Linked DNA regions of Coturnix japonica. The protein of the gene in region 2 interacts with the protein of the main gene of each other region in a pairwise test. Links are inferred from orthologs where the notes say so. Each region holds a gene or a part of one and is shown on either strand. Other genes may lie near its edges.

What was found.
Region 1: the proteins of UBE2E3 (region 2) and MUL1 interact in a two-hybrid assay, tested with the Homo sapiens proteins (2 studies listed by BioGRID and IntAct). The link is inferred for Coturnix japonica from reciprocal best matches to the Homo sapiens genes UBE2E3 and MUL1.
Region 3: the proteins of UBE2E3 (region 2) and RNF111 interact in a two-hybrid assay, tested with the Homo sapiens proteins (2 studies listed by BioGRID and IntAct). The link is inferred for Coturnix japonica from reciprocal best matches to the Homo sapiens genes UBE2E3 and RNF111.

The regions. Positions count from the first base shown.
Region 1 is NC_029536.1:4,255,573-4,261,583, reverse strand, and holds MUL1 (mitochondrial ubiquitin ligase activator of NFKB 1), read left to right. Parts: upstream 1-2,513; 5' UTR 2,514-2,559; coding exon 2,560-2,688; intron 2,689-2,816; coding exon 2,817-2,904; intron 2,905-3,758; coding exon 3,759-3,879; intron 3,880-4,418; coding exon 4,419-5,148; 3' UTR 5,149-5,635; downstream 5,636-6,011. Other genes in the region: protein FAM43B, read left to right, coding at 428-1,306. UniProt on the Homo sapiens protein: Exhibits weak E3 ubiquitin-protein ligase activity. E3 ubiquitin ligases accept ubiquitin from an E2 ubiquitin-conjugating enzyme in the form of a thioester and then directly transfer the ubiquitin to targeted substrates.
Region 2 is NC_029522.1:12,887,519-12,893,710, forward strand, and holds the start of UBE2E3 (ubiquitin-conjugating enzyme E2 E3), read right to left. Parts: upstream 3,921-6,192; 5' UTR 3,748-3,920; intron 2,632-3,747; 5' UTR 2,623-2,631; coding exon 2,429-2,622; intron 318-2,428; coding exon 267-317; intron 1-266. UniProt on the Homo sapiens protein: Accepts ubiquitin from the E1 complex and catalyzes its covalent attachment to other proteins. In vitro catalyzes 'Lys-11'- and 'Lys-48'-, as well as 'Lys-63'-linked polyubiquitination.
Region 3 is NC_029525.1:5,871,576-5,877,637, forward strand, and holds the start of RNF111 (E3 ubiquitin-protein ligase Arkadia), read right to left. Parts: upstream 3,786-6,062; 5' UTR 3,674-3,785; coding exon 3,669-3,673; intron 1-3,668. Other genes in the region: SLTM (SAFB-like transcription modulator), read left to right, coding at 4,009-4,212, 4,805-4,892. UniProt on the Homo sapiens protein: E3 ubiquitin-protein ligase. Required for mesoderm patterning during embryonic development. Acts as an enhancer of the transcriptional responses of the SMAD2/SMAD3 effectors, which are activated downstream of BMP.

The DNA.
Region 1 (6,011 bases), on a different chromosome or scaffold from region 2:
AGCATCCCAAAATCCAAGGGGGAACCATCCCAAAACCCAAAGGGATCTCCCCAAAATCCAAGGGAGAATCACCCCCAAAACCCAAAGGGATCTCCCCAAACCCATTATCAGCAGGGGTTGCATGGCTAAACGTCGTTATCGCTCTTTGGGCTCTGCACTCCGCAGGGGCAGCTCTTTCTCCCCGTAGCGGAGCAGCCTCATCTCCCTCCGGCAGCAGCAGCGCAGCAGCATCTCTCCGTGTGCGCCGATGCATTTCTCCCTCCTCTCCACGCTTTGGGGAGGTGGAGCAGCGCTCCGTTCTGCAGCAGCAGCAGCAGCAGCAGCAGCGTTGCATCCTCACCCAACGCATCCCGCTGGGGACCGACCCTTGGGAACGGGATACGGGGACCGACCCCTTGGGTCAGGATCGGGATCCGGCAGCGAGGTGATGCTGCCCTGGCGCCGCAGCAAGTTCGTGCTGGTGGAAAACGAGCGTAAGTGCAAAGGGAAAAGCTTGGGGCCAGGGTTGGGCTATGCCTCATTGCTGGCTGGTTTCATACGCTCCTGCCCCGATTTATTGCCCGAATGCCCCTTGGAGAGGTTGGGTGCTGTGTTTGGAGGCCGGAGGCAGAAAGTGGAGCTGAACAAGGAGGATCCCACCTACACCGTGCGCTACCTGGGTAACGCCGTCACGCTGCACGCCAAAGGAGAGGGATGCACGGAGGAGGCGGTGGGCAAAATATGGGCCAAAAGCGACGCGGGAGCCGGTGGGGCCAAAATGAAGCTGACCTTAGGGCCGCATGGCATCCGTATGGCACCGGGTGAGAAGGGTGCCCGGAGGTCAGGCCACGCTTACCTGCTGCACCGCATCACCTACTGCACAGCTGACCGCCGGCACCCCAAGGTGTTTGCTTGGGTTTACCGGCACCAGGTGAAGAACAAAGCCGTGGTGCTACGCTGTCACGCCGTCCTCGTCCCCAAAGCCGCCACCGCGCGCGCCATGGCCCTGCTCCTCTTCCAGACCTCCGCTTCAGCCTTCGATGAATTCAAGAGGCTCAAAAGGCAGAACGACGGCCGGCGCCTCCAGCAGCAGCTCCTGGGTGAAGCCATCGTCCCCTTGGTGCCCCTTCGTAGGCTGCTCAATGCCAAGTGTCCCTACCGCCCGCCGGCTGAACGCGCCCGCTGCGCCCCACGGCTCAGCTCCATCCTGGAGGAGGACGAGGAGGAGACGGGGGGCACGTGGGGGGACGGGGGTCCCACCGTGGTCTCTTTGGCCAGTGAGATGCGGGGGTGCAGCTTGCGTGGCCCAAGGGCCCCCATATGCTGAGCATTCATCCACTGCTTTGGCCATACCGGGTGCACTCGGGACACAGCTGGACTATAGGGCTACGTCCCTTTGCTCTTAAAGGGGGGGATGCAGCTGGATCCCCCCATCCCTCTCCTGGAAATAAACCCAATGTGTGTTTTTTGCCTGTGACAGCACCTGTCTCTCGCCAGCCTGGAAGACTCGCGATGGTTTGTTGCTTTTCTGTTCTGTATTTACCCATTTTTTGCACTTCTCGGGGTAAAATATCCACCCCACAGTGGGGGGGGGAGGGAGGGGAGAGGGGTTTCTGCACCTTCCATGCCATTCTACGTGGTGTGATGCTCATGTTGCCATGGCAATGGTGGGGTTTAAATAGAGCAGGCCCACGCTTTGGGTTGGGGGGGGAGGCTGCAATGTGGATCCCAGGCCTGAAACTGGGGGGAAAATACAGCCCAGAGAACCTAAATCAGTGGAGTTTTACACAAAAATGTTTTTTTTTTCACCCAGTTCCTGCTCTATCTGCCTTGACAGGAGCAGCAATGAGGGGGGCACGGTGGAAGGAGCTGAATAAGTGGGGTGGTGGGAGGGGGAACAAGGGGCACTGCTGCCCCATAGACTGAGGAAGGGGATGCACCAGTGGGATGGGGTTTGTGTGAGCTCCCCCCACATACAGCAGCCAAGGAGGGGGTGGGCTGTGGTCCTGATTCCCTCTGAGCTTTGGGGGCTGCCCCCACACTCTGTGGGCTCTATAGAGCTCTATGGGACTGTGGTTTGAGATAACTGGCCCCCGAAAGCACTATGGGGCCAAGATTTGGGCTAACACCCCTATAAATAAACCTATGCAGGGTTATATCTGAGATATAACCAGCATCCTGGGGTGAAAGACTGGGATTTGGGTTAAACATCCTCTGAAAGCCCTTTAAGGCTGAGATATAGGCCAACCCCACACAAAAGGTCCTATAGGGCTGGGATTTAGCTTATCCACCTCCAAAATCCTTGGGGTGAGAGTATGGGATTTAGGCTAAATCCACCCCAAAGGCCCAATGGGTGTGGGATATGGGCTATCCTGCCCTAAAATCTTGCGGTAAAAGGTTGGGATTTGAATTATACCCACCCCAAAGGCCCTATAGGGTTTGGCGGGGCTGTATTGGGGGGCTCTACCAGGAAACCTTACAGCCATAACTCGGAGGACCGCACACTCTATGGTAACGGAGTTGCTTCCAGAGCGCCGCTCGCTTGACGTCATCACTCAGCGCCGCTCGGTTGCCTCGGTAATGGAGGAGATGGAAGGAAGCGGGCGGCCTTCGGCCTTGCAGGCCGCGCTGTTGGCGGCCGGTACGGGGCTGACAGCGCTGCTTTACTCGGTGTACCGGCAGCAGACCCGGCTCTCCCGAGGCCTACAGGTGGGTACGGGTGCTCCTGGACCGGGATGCGGGCTGCTAAAGGCCGTAATGGCTGCTTCGGGCCTAGGCCGCGGCCTAGTCCTGAGCCTGGGCCTAGTGGTTGATCCTCGGCTCCTTATGTCCCATAGGGAGCCCGGAGGCTGCGGTTGGACGGGGAGCTGCGGGCCGTGCTGCTGGAGGCACCAGGCCGCTGTGTGCCTTATGCTGTCATTGAAGGTATTGGTATAGCTAAAGGCTGGGTCTCTTTCCACATCTCCCCTTTGGCTCAAAGGGTTTTGCCCTAAAATCTGCTTTCTTGCACCAGAAATGGGGTAGCACTGCCCTGTAGTGCAGGCTCCTCCTTCACAGACACACACCCAGGGAAGGGGATGGGCTGTGATTCCTTCCAAATGAAAGGGGGAAAACTCCAGCCCTAATAGAAGGCTCTGGGGTATGGGATAGGGTTAGTTCCTTCCGTATGCAATGCAGGTTGGGGTTTGGGCTGGCATCCCTATGGAGCTTAAATATAGCCTGATTCCTGCAAAACTATGGGGTGAAAGGCTGGGGTTTGGGCTGAATGTACCCCAAAGGTCGTGTAGGGATTGATCCCTTCATAAAGGTACTACAGGGCTGGAATTTAGCCTGTCCCCTTCCAGAATCCTTGGGGATGGGATTATGGAATTTAGGCTAAACCCACCCCAGAGGCCCAGAGTTAATCTGGTCCCCAAAATGCCCCAACGAGGCCGGCATTTGAGCTACTTCCCCACCAAAAAAACGCCCCGTGAAGGTGGTATTTGGGCTATTTCTCTCCCCCAAAAACGTGCAGTGGGGGCTGAGATTTGAGCTAAGACCTCCACCACCTCCACAAGACACATTTGGGCTGGGATTTAACCTGTCCCCATCCAAAATCATGGGAGTGAAAGACTAGAACTTGAGTTAAACGTATCCCAGAGCCCTGTGGGGCTGAGTTCTGGGCCTGTACCTCCCTCCCCTTAAAAAATAAAGCACTTTGGGGCTGGAATTTGAGCTAATCTTCCCCCATGACAATAAAAGAGACTTGACCCACAACTCAACCACTCCACGTGTTCCAGGTGTGGTACGTTCTGTCAGGGACACCCTGAGCAGCCAGTTTGTGGACAACTGCAAGGGCGTCGTGCAGAGGCTGACACTGCAGGAGCACAAGATGGTATGGAACCGAACGACCCACCTCTGGTACGTACCTATATAGAACCATAGGACATCCCAAGTTGGAAGGGACCCATAAGGACCTGAAATCAGAACCTTAAGCCTTAGAGCAATGTCTCAACACTCCTTGAGCTCTGGAAGTTCAGGGTTGTACCCTCCACCCCACACATATGGCAGCTGGAGGCCACCCCAAGCAGCCAAATGGAGCATCCCTGCACTGCACTGAGCAGCCTAATAAAGCAGAGAATGGGAAGCTTGATGGTATTGTGGAGTCATCGTGGCTGTGGAGGTGATGAGGATTTAGCTGCCCCTGAGCTCTTTGCCTTGTGACAGCAGCAGGTTTTGCATGGGGGGCACAGGCAGAGTGATAAATGTTGCTGTGTTGAAAGCTGTGGTGTTTCCCTGCTACCTGGCTTAGGTTGGAGGGAACCTTAAAGATTATCAAACTCAAGATTATATCAGCTTGGAGGCTACCTTAAAGATTATCAACCCATGCCATGGGGTTGGATCACCCAACCCAGCCTGGATTGCCAGCGTGAAAGCACTAATGCTTTCTTTATCCCCAGGAATGACTATGAGAAGATCATCCACCAGAGAACCAACACCACAGCTTTCGACTTGGCCCCATTGGAAGACAGCACCGGGGTTGCCGTGAGGGTGATGAAACCACTGGAGGCTGCTGAGCTCAGCCTAGAGACAGTGCATGAGAAGTTCCATCCCTCAGTGCAATCCTTCCCCGATGTCATCGGCCACTACATCAGCGGGGAGCGCCCCAAAGGCATTCAGGAAACAGAGCAGATGCTGAAGGTGGGAGCTGCACTGACTGGTGTCGGAGAGCTGGTGCTGGACAACAACACCATCAAGCTGCAGCCACCCAAGCAAGGTCTGCGTTACTACCTGACCAGCTCCGATTTCGATGCTTTGCTGAGGAAACAGGAATCGAACGCCAAGCTTTGGAAGATCCTGACCATCCTTTTTGGTTTTGCTACGTGTGCTGTTCTCTTTTTCCTCTTAAGGAAACAGTATCGTTACCACCGGGAGAGGCAGCACCTCAAACAGATGCAACAGGAATTCAGGCAAGCTCAGGAGCGGCTGATGCGTGAAGTGAGCACTGAGGGTGGAGAGACACTGAAAAATGCCTGTGTCATCTGCCTGAGCAACGCCAAATCCTGTGTCTTCCTGGAGTGTGGCCACGTCTGCTCCTGCACTGAGTGCTACCGAGCCCTCCCAGAGCCCAAAAGGTGCCCCATCTGCAGACAGGCCATCAGCAGGGTGGTTCCCTTGTACAATAGTTAAAGCGTTGCATCTCAAGGGGGTGTTTTATGGAGAGCTCCCTCTCTCTGAGGGTCCGCCTGCGTCCTGCCCTTCTTGCTGCTGGGTGTTGGATGGCTGGGGGTGGAATCTTGGACTGGGGAAGGGGGAGGGAGCTGAGGAATGATTGGAAATGATTGCAGGTGCTCAGGGCTGGAGTGGTGCTCCTGGGGACAAAATCAGCTTGTTTCTGTGATACCCTGGTGATTAAATACCCCTTCTGTTATGAGACATGAGGAGACCTGCGGGGTGGGAGCTGGGGGTCAGGAGAGCTTCTGCTGTTGTGATAAATGATGAACACATGCGTTTCCATCATCCCCTCCTGCCAGCACTACCCCAGGGCTGAGCTTTGGCCACTTGTGATTGTGTCACACCAGAATGTGATCATGGCGCCGTGGCAGAGCTCCGCTTGATTCCGCAGCAGGGTTTGGGTCGGGGTACGGCACAGGATGTAATAAAACCCTTTGAAAAAGCTCGTTTGTCCCGGTTCATTCCATCCCTGCAGCCCTGAGGGCGCTGCGCTGCCTTCCTCTCCTCCCTCTGCATTATGCGAGCTGTACGAAGCTCCATCCATCCCAGGTGGGGCCGGGCGTTCTCCCTTTCCTATCGGAGGAGCCTGAGGTTGGAGCAGGGTGCGGAATAACCCCGTAGGCAGAGCTTGAAGAGCCGCATCCAGCCGGGCTGCAGGTGGCGATGCGCTCCCGCTGCGGAATAAAAGGCAGAAATAACAAACATCCGCAGCGACGGCGGCTCGTCTCCTTCCCTTCTCCCTCTGCCGTAAATCCATCACCCCGGCTGAGCCCAGGCTCATCTCCCCGGCTCCACAGGAGGGGATTCTTTTCTTACCC
Region 2 (6,192 bases):
ATTTTGAAGTTCACATAATCAGCGTTTCACAAAGGCAGTGACCAGCTACATAAAACAAACTGTATACATTTCTCTATGTGCATCAACCGCAAACGACTATCCCTACAGCATGCAGACGAAATATCAAATGCTCCCTTTGCTTGTTCAACCCACTGCACACAATTGTCGTCTAATAGTCACCAGCTGTAAACATGAACTTTCCCATTTATTAGCCTGAGCACGTTAATCTCCTAGCACTGTCCACGATTTAAGAAGCTGTTACATACCTGCAGTTAGGAGGAGGATCAAGAGTTATTTCAGCTAGCTCCTTCTGGATTCTGTTGGTGAAATGAGAACAGACACAAAGCATTTGAGATAGTCTATAGAATAAATCAGGGAATTACACTGCCCTCTACCACCATGCAGTTAAATGCAAGATTGGCTTTGCCTTCAGTAATGCTAACATGGCTGCTTCCTCTTTGTTCTCAGAGGTATAACCCAAATCCCACAGCTGAGAAACTTTGCAGCTTTTTTCCTGCTCGATCCTGTGTATAAACAGAACGCTCACAGCCGAGTTCGGTAGGAATCTCCCACAAGTACTCGGAACAGTAACTCTTTTTCAGATCTGAGCACATTTTGCCAGAGAGATTTTCTTTTCAAGCTAATATGCAAATGAGCCGGGGGGAGGGGGGGCCGTACAAGCACATTTGACAATGACTTTAAACCAGCACTACAGAACTGTGATCGAGGCTGAAGAAGCGAGCCGTGCTGTCAGCAAATGTATTCTTTTGGCAATATTCTACCTCCTGCTTTGCAGGGTGTTTAAAAAGTAGGTCTGCAGATCTGCCTGGCTGCTTCTGACACTGGAATCATCTCTGCATCAACTTTGCTCTTCTCCACACCTTCTGCTGCCTTTCCTCCCCCAGCCTTACAGGAGCCGTATTTACATGATAAAAAGCAACATAATAACCTGAAATAATCTGTGTTTAGCTTGACATTGTAACAACCACTCCCAAGATGTTACAGTCCAGAAAGCAACACTCAAAATTTTGGGTAAACCTTATTATTTATTCATATATATATATATATATATAGGAGGTGTAACTTTTAAAGATTCAAGGCAATTTCCTCTTTTAAATGTCAAATCAAACAAACAAACAAAACTGCACAACAAAACCCACGCGAGCAAGACTGCTTTTTTATGTGCATAGCAAGTGTAGAACATGAGCTGACAGGGACTGCCCCAAAAGCCCATGCACCATTTCTATTAAGCCCAACCATGCTACTGAACTACTGGATTAACCAAAACAAAGGTAAGAGGAGAAAACTCAGCTGTGAGCCTCTACATGATGTACCTCAGGCACTAAAAAGAACACAAAGCCTAACAATAAATTACAAAGTCTACACTGTTTCCAGAACTTTTCCTTCTGCAGCCAAGTCCTATTCCAAAGGGTTTCTTTAACAAACTCAGAAGTCATCAGTCACCCAGTCACATTCTGCAATAATTCTGAGACACTGCAAAATGTATTTACTGAGTTTAAGTACAGTGCAAAGTTACTACAACGTTCCTCAAAGTCTGAGCTACTGTATTTGGGCTGGATAAGCAAAACTCGAGGCTAATGTGGCTTTCGCACAGTGTATTTGTAAATGTTTGTAAAGAAAGGGAACTCCAGGGAAAAGACTGAAAGTTGTGTTTCATCTCAGAAGACAACTGGGATTGAGGGAATTAAAGTTTGCTTTATTTCACACAGCTGAACTTACAGAAAATAATTAGCACGCATGTCTTGAGAGCTGGACTGCCAGTAACCTTGTGTGTAAACAAAAACGCAGCAGATAAAACTAGACAAGGTTTCCTGAGATTCTGATACTTAGAGGCTACACTTGAAGAACCCTATGGTTGGAATCCATGGATCCCACAAGAGACCATTTGCCTGACTTTCTCCAGAAAGCACTGCAGGACAGAACAGTGACTTTAAGGTGCACAGGGCTCTACTGCAATCATAAGGCCTTCAGAATCCACGAGGCTTTTGTGACTTCTGTAATTAAAGAGTACTGTCATTGCACTGCAGCCTGCACTGAAATACACCAGAAAGATCCACCCTATACCAACAAGGTATGTAAACCTGTCTCTGCAAACCAGACACCTGAAGCTTATGCTTTCTCACTCATTTTAACAAATATGAGAGGCACACAGGTGCCCCATGACCAGCCTGAGAGTTAGCAAGTTTTCCAACAACTCCAAAGAAACACGGCCAGCCCGCGTATTAGTGCCCCAGAGGATTTGGACTGGTGAAGGTCCTTCCCAGCAGACCAGCATGCTACAGAATTTTGTACTGTGCTATTTCCCACGTGGCTTTAAAGCAATCCCTCTGCCTTGGGAAGTGCAGTGCAACACTGCGAGTCCACACACCGTGCAAAACCGCTACAGGACGCTGGATGCCACAAGTACCTTTTAGCACTAGTAGATAGCTTAGCAGTAGTTTTGCTGGAGAGTTTGGTGTTCTTCTTCTGTTGGGTGGCAGAGGGTTTCCTTTCCTCCTGCTCCTCAGGTTCAGGTGCCGGGGGGTCCCTCTGGTCAGCATCTGAGCTGCCGCTGCTGGTACTGGGGCTCTCATCATCTGACCTCTGCCTGTCACTGGACATCGTGGGGAACTTGTGGGGAAGGAGGAGAAGAGGCAGTTACTACAGCACGCAGGTCACCCCTCGCCGTCCTGAGCTCTGAAGAACACTTTGGTTGTCGATAACTCTATTTCATGGAGAAACCCACCAGGATCCTCTTCTTTGTCTCATCCGCCAGGGCTGCAACTTGACAGCCACACCACAACATTTACACTTCGGAAAACACCGGCATTTCCCATTTTTAAACCCACTCGCATTTTTGTCATGCTTCAAACAATATGCCAATTGTCGGCTTGGTTCTGAGGCACAGACAGATTGAGCAGGGCACTTAGGAAACGCACATTAATAACTTATGACACATTGTAAATAACAGACCTCCCTGGGAATGTTTTTTAAGGAGTCACCGATACCCTGTAAATATTTACACTGGAACGGAGCGTTTTATTGGGTCCAAACGCCTGATCCCCCCTCAACCCCTCTCTCGGAGGAGCTCCATTGCCAATGAGACTCGGGCTGCTATCAGACCGAAGCATACACTTGCTCTGTGCATTTAAAGGGCTGGGCGGGGGGGGGGGGGGGGGGGGGGGAGGTGGGGGGGGGAGGGAGAACGCGGGTTGTTTGTTTTTAAAGGAAAACCCCCGCGGAACCCGCAGAAGATGCGTCGGGAGCAACTCGGGAAGCGGCAGCCCCACTGCCCGCCGGCAGATCCGCATTGGGCCCCCGCAGGGCCGCCGGGGGGGAGGCAGCCCGCAGCCGCCCGCACCTTCCGCGTCGCCCTCTCGCCCCCCCGCCCCGCTCCGACATGGTGGCGGCGGGGGGAGGGGGCTGCCCGGTGGCCGGGAGCCGCGGTGGGGCCGGGGGCGGCCGCGCTTTGTGGGGTGAGCCCGGCGCGGCGCGGCAGGCGGCGGCTCGGCTCGGCCGGCCCCGCTCCACTCGGCTCGGCCCCGCTCGGCGCCGCGCGTGTGTGTGCACCAAGTGAGGCGTGAACTCGGCCGGCCCCGCGCCCCCGGCCGCCGGCAGGCAGCGAGCGCCGAAAACAAGAACAAAGCTCCTCGGCGGCCCCCCCGCTCCTCCCCGCCTCCCCCCACCGCGCTCGCCCAGCCGCCGCCGCCGCCGCCGCCGCAGCCGCCTCGCCCGCCTCTCGCTTACCTTCGCCGGCGTCCTGTCCCGCTGCTGGGTCGGAGGGGCGGGATGGCGGGGGGCCGGGCCGGGCCCGCGGCGCCCGAGGAGGGGACGGAGACGGCCGGGGGGCTCTACGGCGGCGGCGGCGGCTCTGTGGCCGGGCGGTGTGGAACATTGAGAGCCGGAGCAGGGGGGGACGGGGGGAGGCGCGGTGCGGCCCCGCGGCCGGCGGGTGGCGCTGGCGGGCCCCGCTCTGCGGCGCGGGCTCCCGCGGCGGGCCGGGGGGCCGGGGCGGGGGGCGGCGGGCGCGCGCCGCCGGGGGCGGGGGAGAAGGTCCGGGGTTGGGGAGAGGGGGGGGGAGACCGGCCGCCCCCGGCCGCCGCCGCTGTGCCGGGCTGCAGCCGACAGCGGGGGAGGGGACGGGAGAGCAGAGGGGGCGCTCGCTCCCGCCTGGCGGCCAGCAGAGCGCGCCCCCCTCCGGGCTGGGGTGCGCGCAGGCGCTCTCCCGCCGCGGCCGAGGGCGCGCGTGCTCCGGGCCGGGCAAGGACAAAGCGGCGGCGCGCGGGTGGACCTCGACGGCTGCTGTGCGCGGCGGGGCACGGCGCGATCCTGCACAGCTCCTGAGTGTGGGCACCGCCAGAATCATCAGCACTTCGGTGCCCTCCGCCGGCCGTCCCGGCTGCAGCTCCGCCGCCCGCGGGGTCTGACAGCGGTGTTACAGCCGCCTCGTGCCCCGCTCCTCGATCCACGCGTCCAAGTGATGGCCGGCACTGTGTGCGGTCATGGTGGTTTATTCCAAATTAGAAACACAATTAGGAGTTGCACCGTATGCATCTACGTGCCGAGTTCTGACTGTTATCACAGAGGGAAGGGGGTAGTCTGTATCAGTGGCTGTGTAGGATGGTGGTTGAATTTCTTCCCAGGCCCATCACAGCCGCACCTGAGGAGCTGTGGTCAGTGTGCAGTAAGAGCCATCCACCAATTAGAGTAATGTGAATATTCCAAAGTGATCCTGGAGCAATAAAACCCACCTGTAAAAGAAGCGTTAACTATTTGTGATAAGTACCTGTGCTGCAGATTACAGGGTCCAGCAGAGGGGAAATGAGCAATGCGGTTTGAGTTCTGTTATAGAAATGGACGCAAAACCGCTGTCCAGCAGCTGGGCTTCACCTCAGCACTGTGCACCTCGAGGGCTTTCCTTGCCAATAGTCCAAGGGCTTCAAGCCTCTCTGCTTAAGTTTAGCAGGATCGAGAGGCCACAGGTTGCGTTCTGTAGGAGCTGAACGGTGCGTCAGGGGGTTCTGTTCTCTGGGTAGCTGGAATTAGCTCAGCTGAACAGTATGCTGAAGGTTCCGTGGGTGAGCTGAGTGAAATGGTGGGGAGGAATACCGGAGGTTTGTTTGTTAAAGTGGGCTATAGAGAATTCCCAGATCACCACTACAAGCGATTTGCCCCTGAGGTATGCTGTAGAAAATTCTTTGCATAAACAGTATCTGGCATGATGAGCAATCTGGGCATAATTAGTAAAAGGGAAGTGTGGCAATATCAAAAATCTATCAGTCAGCAGTAAAACCATTTCTTTTCCCTATTGATGCTCAAAATGGGGCTGGCTGGCACTTTGAGGGTCAGGACTAAGTGTTTATTTTGTTTCTGGTGATAATCAATGCAGCTGTCAAAAAAGAAAAATAAATAAAGCATCTACAGAATGAATGTAAGTAGGCTGGTCAAGGGCTGCTGGCCACATCAGCTGTTACATGTTGTGGCTTCTGTGGCTTTTAGGAGAAAAAATGAAAATAAAGCCTGTTTAACAGAGGCTAATTGAAAGCCAGCCTGGATTTCATTATTTATTTTTTTCTCTCCAGTCTTTTGTACCTAATTAAAACTGTTCTACTACAGGAACTTATGGATACAACAGGTGTTTATCTGAATGAATATGCATTTGTTTGACATCAAGGCTCAAAGCATGATACTTTCCTCTTACAGGGCTGTATTCTCCTAGGGGGTTTGTTATCTTGTCAACTGTAGAAAAAGTAATGCAGTTGGAAGCAGAGAAAGTGCTGATTTCAATAGCTATAGGAATAAAGCTCCATCCCATGATCTCTGTGACTTTTTGTGCTCCTTGTGATTTTACACTGGTGTAATTTTAACCGATACATCTATCTGTTTTTGTTTTTCTGTCAGTTTATTGAGTACTTAAACTGTGAAAGTTCAACTAGTAGGGTGAAGTGCAGAGCCCTCCTGAGCTTTCCTAACCCTTCCTACTTTCAGACTTGTCTAGATGGTCCTGGGCACTTAGAAATGTGTGAAGCTTTCATTTTTTCTTCCCCTCAGATGCCCTTTAGTTTTTTTTTTTTTGTTTGTTTGTTTTTCCCCAGCACAAGCATTGGTGGTTCCTTAAGAAGCCCAGTATCGCTTAGATACGTCCTGATCCCTATTCTATCAGAGCACAGGTGTGAAGTTGCTGTCAGCGTG
Region 3 (6,062 bases), on a different chromosome or scaffold from region 2:
GCTTGTCATACGGTGCATCAATAATACATCAGAAAGGAAACTATACATCCAAAGTGGAAAAGCTGTTTTTCTAGCAATTATGTGTATTAAATTAGCAGTGAACATTCATTTCAAACGTACCTACTGTCAGGTATCCACTGAAAATACCTCCAGTGGTATCATTCCTTCCTGCCTTCCCCTCCCATTAGACAGAAATAGTGCAGCTGACAATTGTTAGGCATAAGCTTGGTCAGAGGTTTGAATACAATCAGACTGACATCACAATTACTACAAAGCAGAGTTTGAAGCTGTAGTAACTAAGCAATGTAACACAGGAACCCGGCAGTGGTGCCTTTCAAAGTAAAATGGACTCTTCCTGTTGATTTCAATTAATTCACATAGCTCAAAAAAAGTTGCATCCAGAAAGGAACTGAGTCACTGCATCATTTACTGCTGAAATAACCAGCTTTGATGAAGGTAGCAACAAACACAGAATGCAAAATACTGCATTAGAACCTCAGCTTTCTGAAGCAAACAAACAAAAGCCTGAAGCTGGAATGAAACCTCTGGTAACAAGATGGGCTTTGAGACGAACAGTTGTTACACCGTATCTACCCTCTCCACCTTTTCTTCAACCAACATCTTTTCTAAAATGTGTCTGGACAAACCACAGATGTGAGAAGAGGAGAGAACTGGGCACAGTGCTCAGCTCCAGGTGAGTGCTCTGCCTGTGAGGCTGCCTTAAGGAAGGAAATGAACGAGAGAGCGGCAGGAACTACTTCTCTATGTCTTAAAACATGGAGTAAGGCTGTTTTTAGAGGCCACTTATTAGATCTGCACAGGGCATGCTGGCATTTGGTCCTCTGCTTCAGACTGAGGTAAGGAACTGATCAGTCAGTGCTGCTGGAACTGAGATCACGTTCCATGCAGAACTACAAAGCCCATGAAAACACATTGAAAACATCTAAGGACATCTTAGGTGTCTCACATATAAGACAGACAAAAATACATCACAGGAGCAAAGGTTGGGAGTTTTATCATTGTTGCCATTTAAAAACCAACATGTGCACCAAACATTTCTCCTCTTTGAACAGATACCACTGTCTCCTAACCAAACTTAACCATAAACTTCAGAGCCTAACTGTACATAGCAGCCTTCTCTTTGAACATCAGTACGTGTTTCAAGAGACTGTAAAAGGACAAAGAGTATTTTTCTTTACAACAAACAAATCATCCAACTCCAGGTTAGAAAGCAGCCAATATAGACTAAAATTCCTCAGCAAATCCAAACAGATCTGATCATGAGGCATACCTATAAACTAATGTGAAAGATGCCAACCAACATGATTTTTCATTGACAGATCAAACCAACTTTATTTTCAGTTTTGTTATATGAATAAACTGAAGATCCCAGCTTTATTGAGACTTCCGACATTCTGTTCCATCAACATTTTTATGAGGAAACTTCCTTTTAATAGGAACTTTAAGAGGAAACTTAAAGAGGAAACTGGATAGAAACCACATAACCCCAGTCCCAAACTGTTTGTACCCTGAGCAATGCCGCTAGTAGTTCAGCATCAAACCTGCAGTTTATGTCCTGTAAAGGCCCTCATACCTCTGCATAACAGCTTAGACTGCAAGTATAAACCTGCACCTAACACCATGGTTAGAGGTACTACACATGGAGCAAAAGTCAACGATGAAGGCAGAAATCACTCCGAAAATGTATACATGTAATGAACAGAAGTGCAAAGAAATCAGGTGCAGAGAATCAGTTACCATAGGAAACGTTCAGGAAAGAAACCAACATGTAGAGTGGATCACAAACTGCATACGATAACACCTTCGTGAAGCTGGAAAAGGCACACAGCTCCCAGATGCAGCATTGGAAGTGCTGGCACTAAGGCAACTTGATGGAAGTGCAGCACAAATGCTGGAGAGGTGCAACAGAAAAAGGTCATCTGTTCTGGAACTCGGATCAAGGAAAAGAAAATGATCTGGATTTATACCCCAAAAATAAAGGAGCAAACAAAATGTGCTAGTAGTCTTCACATAAAAATGCTGCAAAGGAAAAAGGAATTCTGTCCTTTAGAGTCAGAGTAAGAACTGCAGCAAAAGGGATTTAGGAGGCATCTGAAAAAGGATAGTTAAGGGCTAGACTAGACGAGGAATGAGTGGCATCCCTAGTTAAGGCTTTAGGAACAGGTCAGACGAACATCAGTCAAGGCTGTTTTCCTAATGGCGTACCACGCCTCGAGGCAGGATAATGGAGACTAGGTATTAGTTTTAAGGTCACTGTTGGCTTTTTAGATCAACAGCTTCCACATCTACGTGACATCAACCAACAAATGTAGTGGTTGAGGTGAGCAGATACTGCTCTGAAAGCAGGTGAGCACTGCAGGTGTTAACCCACTGGTCATTCCCAGGACTGAGAACAGAACAGTGCAGTCTGTCCCTCCTGATACAACGCTGCTGCAGGGAGCTGGCAGTCCTGCCTGATATTCTGGTAGATCGCTGAACTCAAAGTAGAACTGAAACAAAAGCTGGACTTAGCCACGTTCTGTTTGAAAGTTACACCAACACCCACAAAATCTGTTTCTGTGGTCTAAAGTAAATCTAAGGAGTCCATCAGTTAACCTCAGCCATTTCTGATAAATCAGATGTTAGCGCAAGTGTTGTCACAGGGAACAGCATGAGCAAGAACACACACAGCACTCCCACTTCAGACTGCTCTTTTCACTAAATCTTCACCATGCCGAAGAGACATTTAAAATCCTCCCACACTCATAGAATCGTAGAATGGCCTGGGTTGAAAAGGACCACAATGATCACCGAGTTTCAACCCCCTGCTGTGTGCAGGGTCACCAACCAGCAGCCCAGGCTGCCCAGAGCCACATCCAGCCCGGCCTTGAGTGCCTGCAGGAATGGGACACCCACAGCCCCCTTGGGCAACCTGTTCCAGTGTGTCATCAGTACAAATTCCGTTTCAGGCACACGCTTAACTTCTGAATGGATGGGTGTCAGCCTTTGTTAAACGCTAACGACTGAGGTAAAGGATTATGTATGGAGGCTCTGGAAACAGGAGAGGAAGCTGTTCCCAACCACTCCGTCGGATTCCGGGCTTAACTTACACCAAAAAAAAAAAAGCGTGTAAGAGATTTATTAAGTGAAACGCGCACATCCCTGCAGTTCGATCAGTGCACATCGCTGAACGAAGGCAGCACAGCGCATCGCTGCGACGGAGCGGTTTCAAGGTTAGAGGATTCAATTCACCCCGAGCGACGGCTCGCAACCGGAGCGCGCCTCGCACGGCTCCCACAGCCCCACAGGCCGGGACACGCGGAGCTCCGGCCCGGCCCAGCGACGGGCCCCGCCGGCAGCACACGGCGGTAACGGCTCCGCTTTTGTTCCGCTCGGGGCCGACGCGGCGCTACGAGCGGGCGGACGAGCTGCGGCCCCGGTACGGCGGCCCGTGACCGCGAGCTCGTACCGACAAACGCCCGCAGCCGCCGCACCGTCACCTCCTCCGGGCCGGGCCCGCACCCGCGCGAGGCCGAGGATCCGAAGCGCTCGGCGGGGCCCGGCGGGACGCACCGCCCGGCTCCCGGCTGCGGACGCCCTCCCCGCCGGCCCGGCCCCGCCCTGCGCCTCCCGCAAGGCCTGGCCCAGCCCGCGCCGCCCCGGGGCACCTCATGGCTCCCAGCGCCGCTCCCTGAAGAAGCGAGAGCCCGGCCGGAGCCCAGCGCCGTCCCGTCCCGTCCCGTCCCGTCCCGCTGGGCGGGGCCGCACCGCGGCACTCACTCACTCACTCCCCGCCGCACTCACTCCCTCCCTCACTCATTCACTCACCCCCGCCCGCCCGACCCGCCCGCCGCCAACCTCTCGCGGGGAGGTCCGGAGCGCAGGTGAGCCGCACTGCGCCTGCGCCGCTCCTCAGGTCGGCCGCGGCCTCCATCCGGGTACCGCGCGGCCCCGGCAGGGCGGGGGGGTTTCATTGTGCGCGCGGCTGCCGCGCTCAGTCGCTCTAAGATGGCCGCCGCCGCCGCCGCCGCCTCGTCTCCTGCCGCCGCGGGGGCTCCCGGGGCGCCCAACGCTTCGGCGGCCGCGGCGCCGCCTCCCACCGAGAGCAAGAAGATCAGCGACCTGCGGGTCATCGACCTCAAGTCGGAGCTGAAGCGGCGCAACCTGGACGTCACCGGCGTGAAGACCGTGCTCATCTCCCGGCTCAAGCAGGTGAGAGCTCCGCGCGGGCCCGGCTGAGCGGCGCGGCCCGGGATCGGGATCGGGGGCAGCGCCGTGAGGGGGGCGGGGCCCTGTCGGTGTCGGTCCCGGTGTCGGTCCCGGTGAGGGGGGCGGGCCCGCTCCTCGTGCCGCTGCTGCCGTAGGGCTGAGGGTCGCCCGGCCCGGCCCGGCCCTGCCCGTGCTGCGGCGGCACGCCCTGCCCGGCCGCGGGGAGTGGAGGCGTCAGGCGGGGCTCGGCCCGCGGCCTTGAGGCCCTGCCGGGACCCGGGGCGCTGCAGCTCGCTGCCTGCTGCCCGCTCTGCCCCTTGGTGTCATTGCGGCGTAGCGATCCCTGAGGGAAACGTACCGCTGCTCGCTAAGTTGTCCTTCGGAATGTCACGAGAACGGCTTCAACAAACCGCTGTCGCTATCGTCAGGCTTTCCTCCCTCTCCCCCAGCTTTCGGTGGGAGGTTTAACCTGAAGTGTTTCATAAGATATTGTGTAGTTGAAAATCTAATAACTTGGCTCGTCAACGTCCTGAAGTGACAACTTATTGCTTCCAATTGAACTCCACTAAAAACTGTCGTTCTGTGTCCCGTTCAGGCTATTGAAGAGGAGGGAGGTGATCCGGATAACATTGAAATAACTGTCTCGGCTGACACACCCACCAAGAAGCCAGCTAAAGGCAAAGGTGAACGAATACCTGTTGATACACATTATAGACTGAAACACGTTTTTGTTGCATGCATCACCTTAAGAAAGAAGTAATGAGCTGTGCCCCCGGTTGTGCCTGTCCTTTACTGTTTGTGAGTTCTGTTCATAAAGCACTAAGTCTTCCGTACTGGCTTCCAGTCATGCTGTTTCTCTCATCATCTCTATTCCCCCCATCACCACCTGTTGTACCGGCTTGCTTCCCTTTCCTGCAGCATGCTCTGTCTGTCTCCCTGTGTCACATATCTGCTTATCACTGAGGGTGTGGAATGCATTAGGCCTTGCAAAGTACCCATGTGCTGGGTATATATGGGATGTGTTGGTCAGGTGATGTGTCATAAGGTGGTGGCTGTACAGTCTTTGGGTCCTGGAGGCTTGTGCCATGCTCAGGAACGTTGTAGACGTTCTGTGAGATTTCTTGGGATGTGCCATATAATGGGATCCTGAGCATGGAGTGTTCATGGTGGGTGTCAGTGTAGTGGCTGAGAGCCCATCCCATGGCAAGGGCTGAGCTGGCAGGTTACTCAGCTGTTAGAAGGTACCTGGCCCACGTTAGTGGTGAGTGTGGAGCAGTATGTGGTAAGGGTCAGAGCCTGGAGAGTTCTGTCTGCTGTGATTATCAACACGATTGTTGCTGAAGAGAAGGTTTATAATTGAGAGATTCCTCAATATAATCAGAATGCACAGTGTGATTTTAAAATGTCATCTTAAGGGACTTTTGTACTTTTGTTGTGAAAAATAATTATCTAGATTAGAAGCTGATATATTGGGCAGAGATTTTGTTGGCACTGTTTATTTACACGTAACTATTTGTATTTGTGAGCTTGAGTTTTGGGGGAGAGTCTCTTGTTTTCTGGTTCTGGGGTTGTCTGTAACCTGTCAAGTAATACTGGGGAAGGAAGTGTCTGTTTTACACATAGTGTTCCTCGTTGAATATATATGCTAACAACGTTCATAGACAGCTGCTTTGGAAATGGTTGATCTCATACTACTGTCACTTGTCCTAGGCTGGGTTTTGGGGTGGAAATGGTTATTCTTGTTTCTGTCTGGTGCTGTGAGAGGGCAGTTTAATAATAAAATGTCTCTGTTAGAGATTTAGAGTGACATCCCAGCTGTGCTTCTGGCACACTGCAAAAGTGAAGGCAAATAA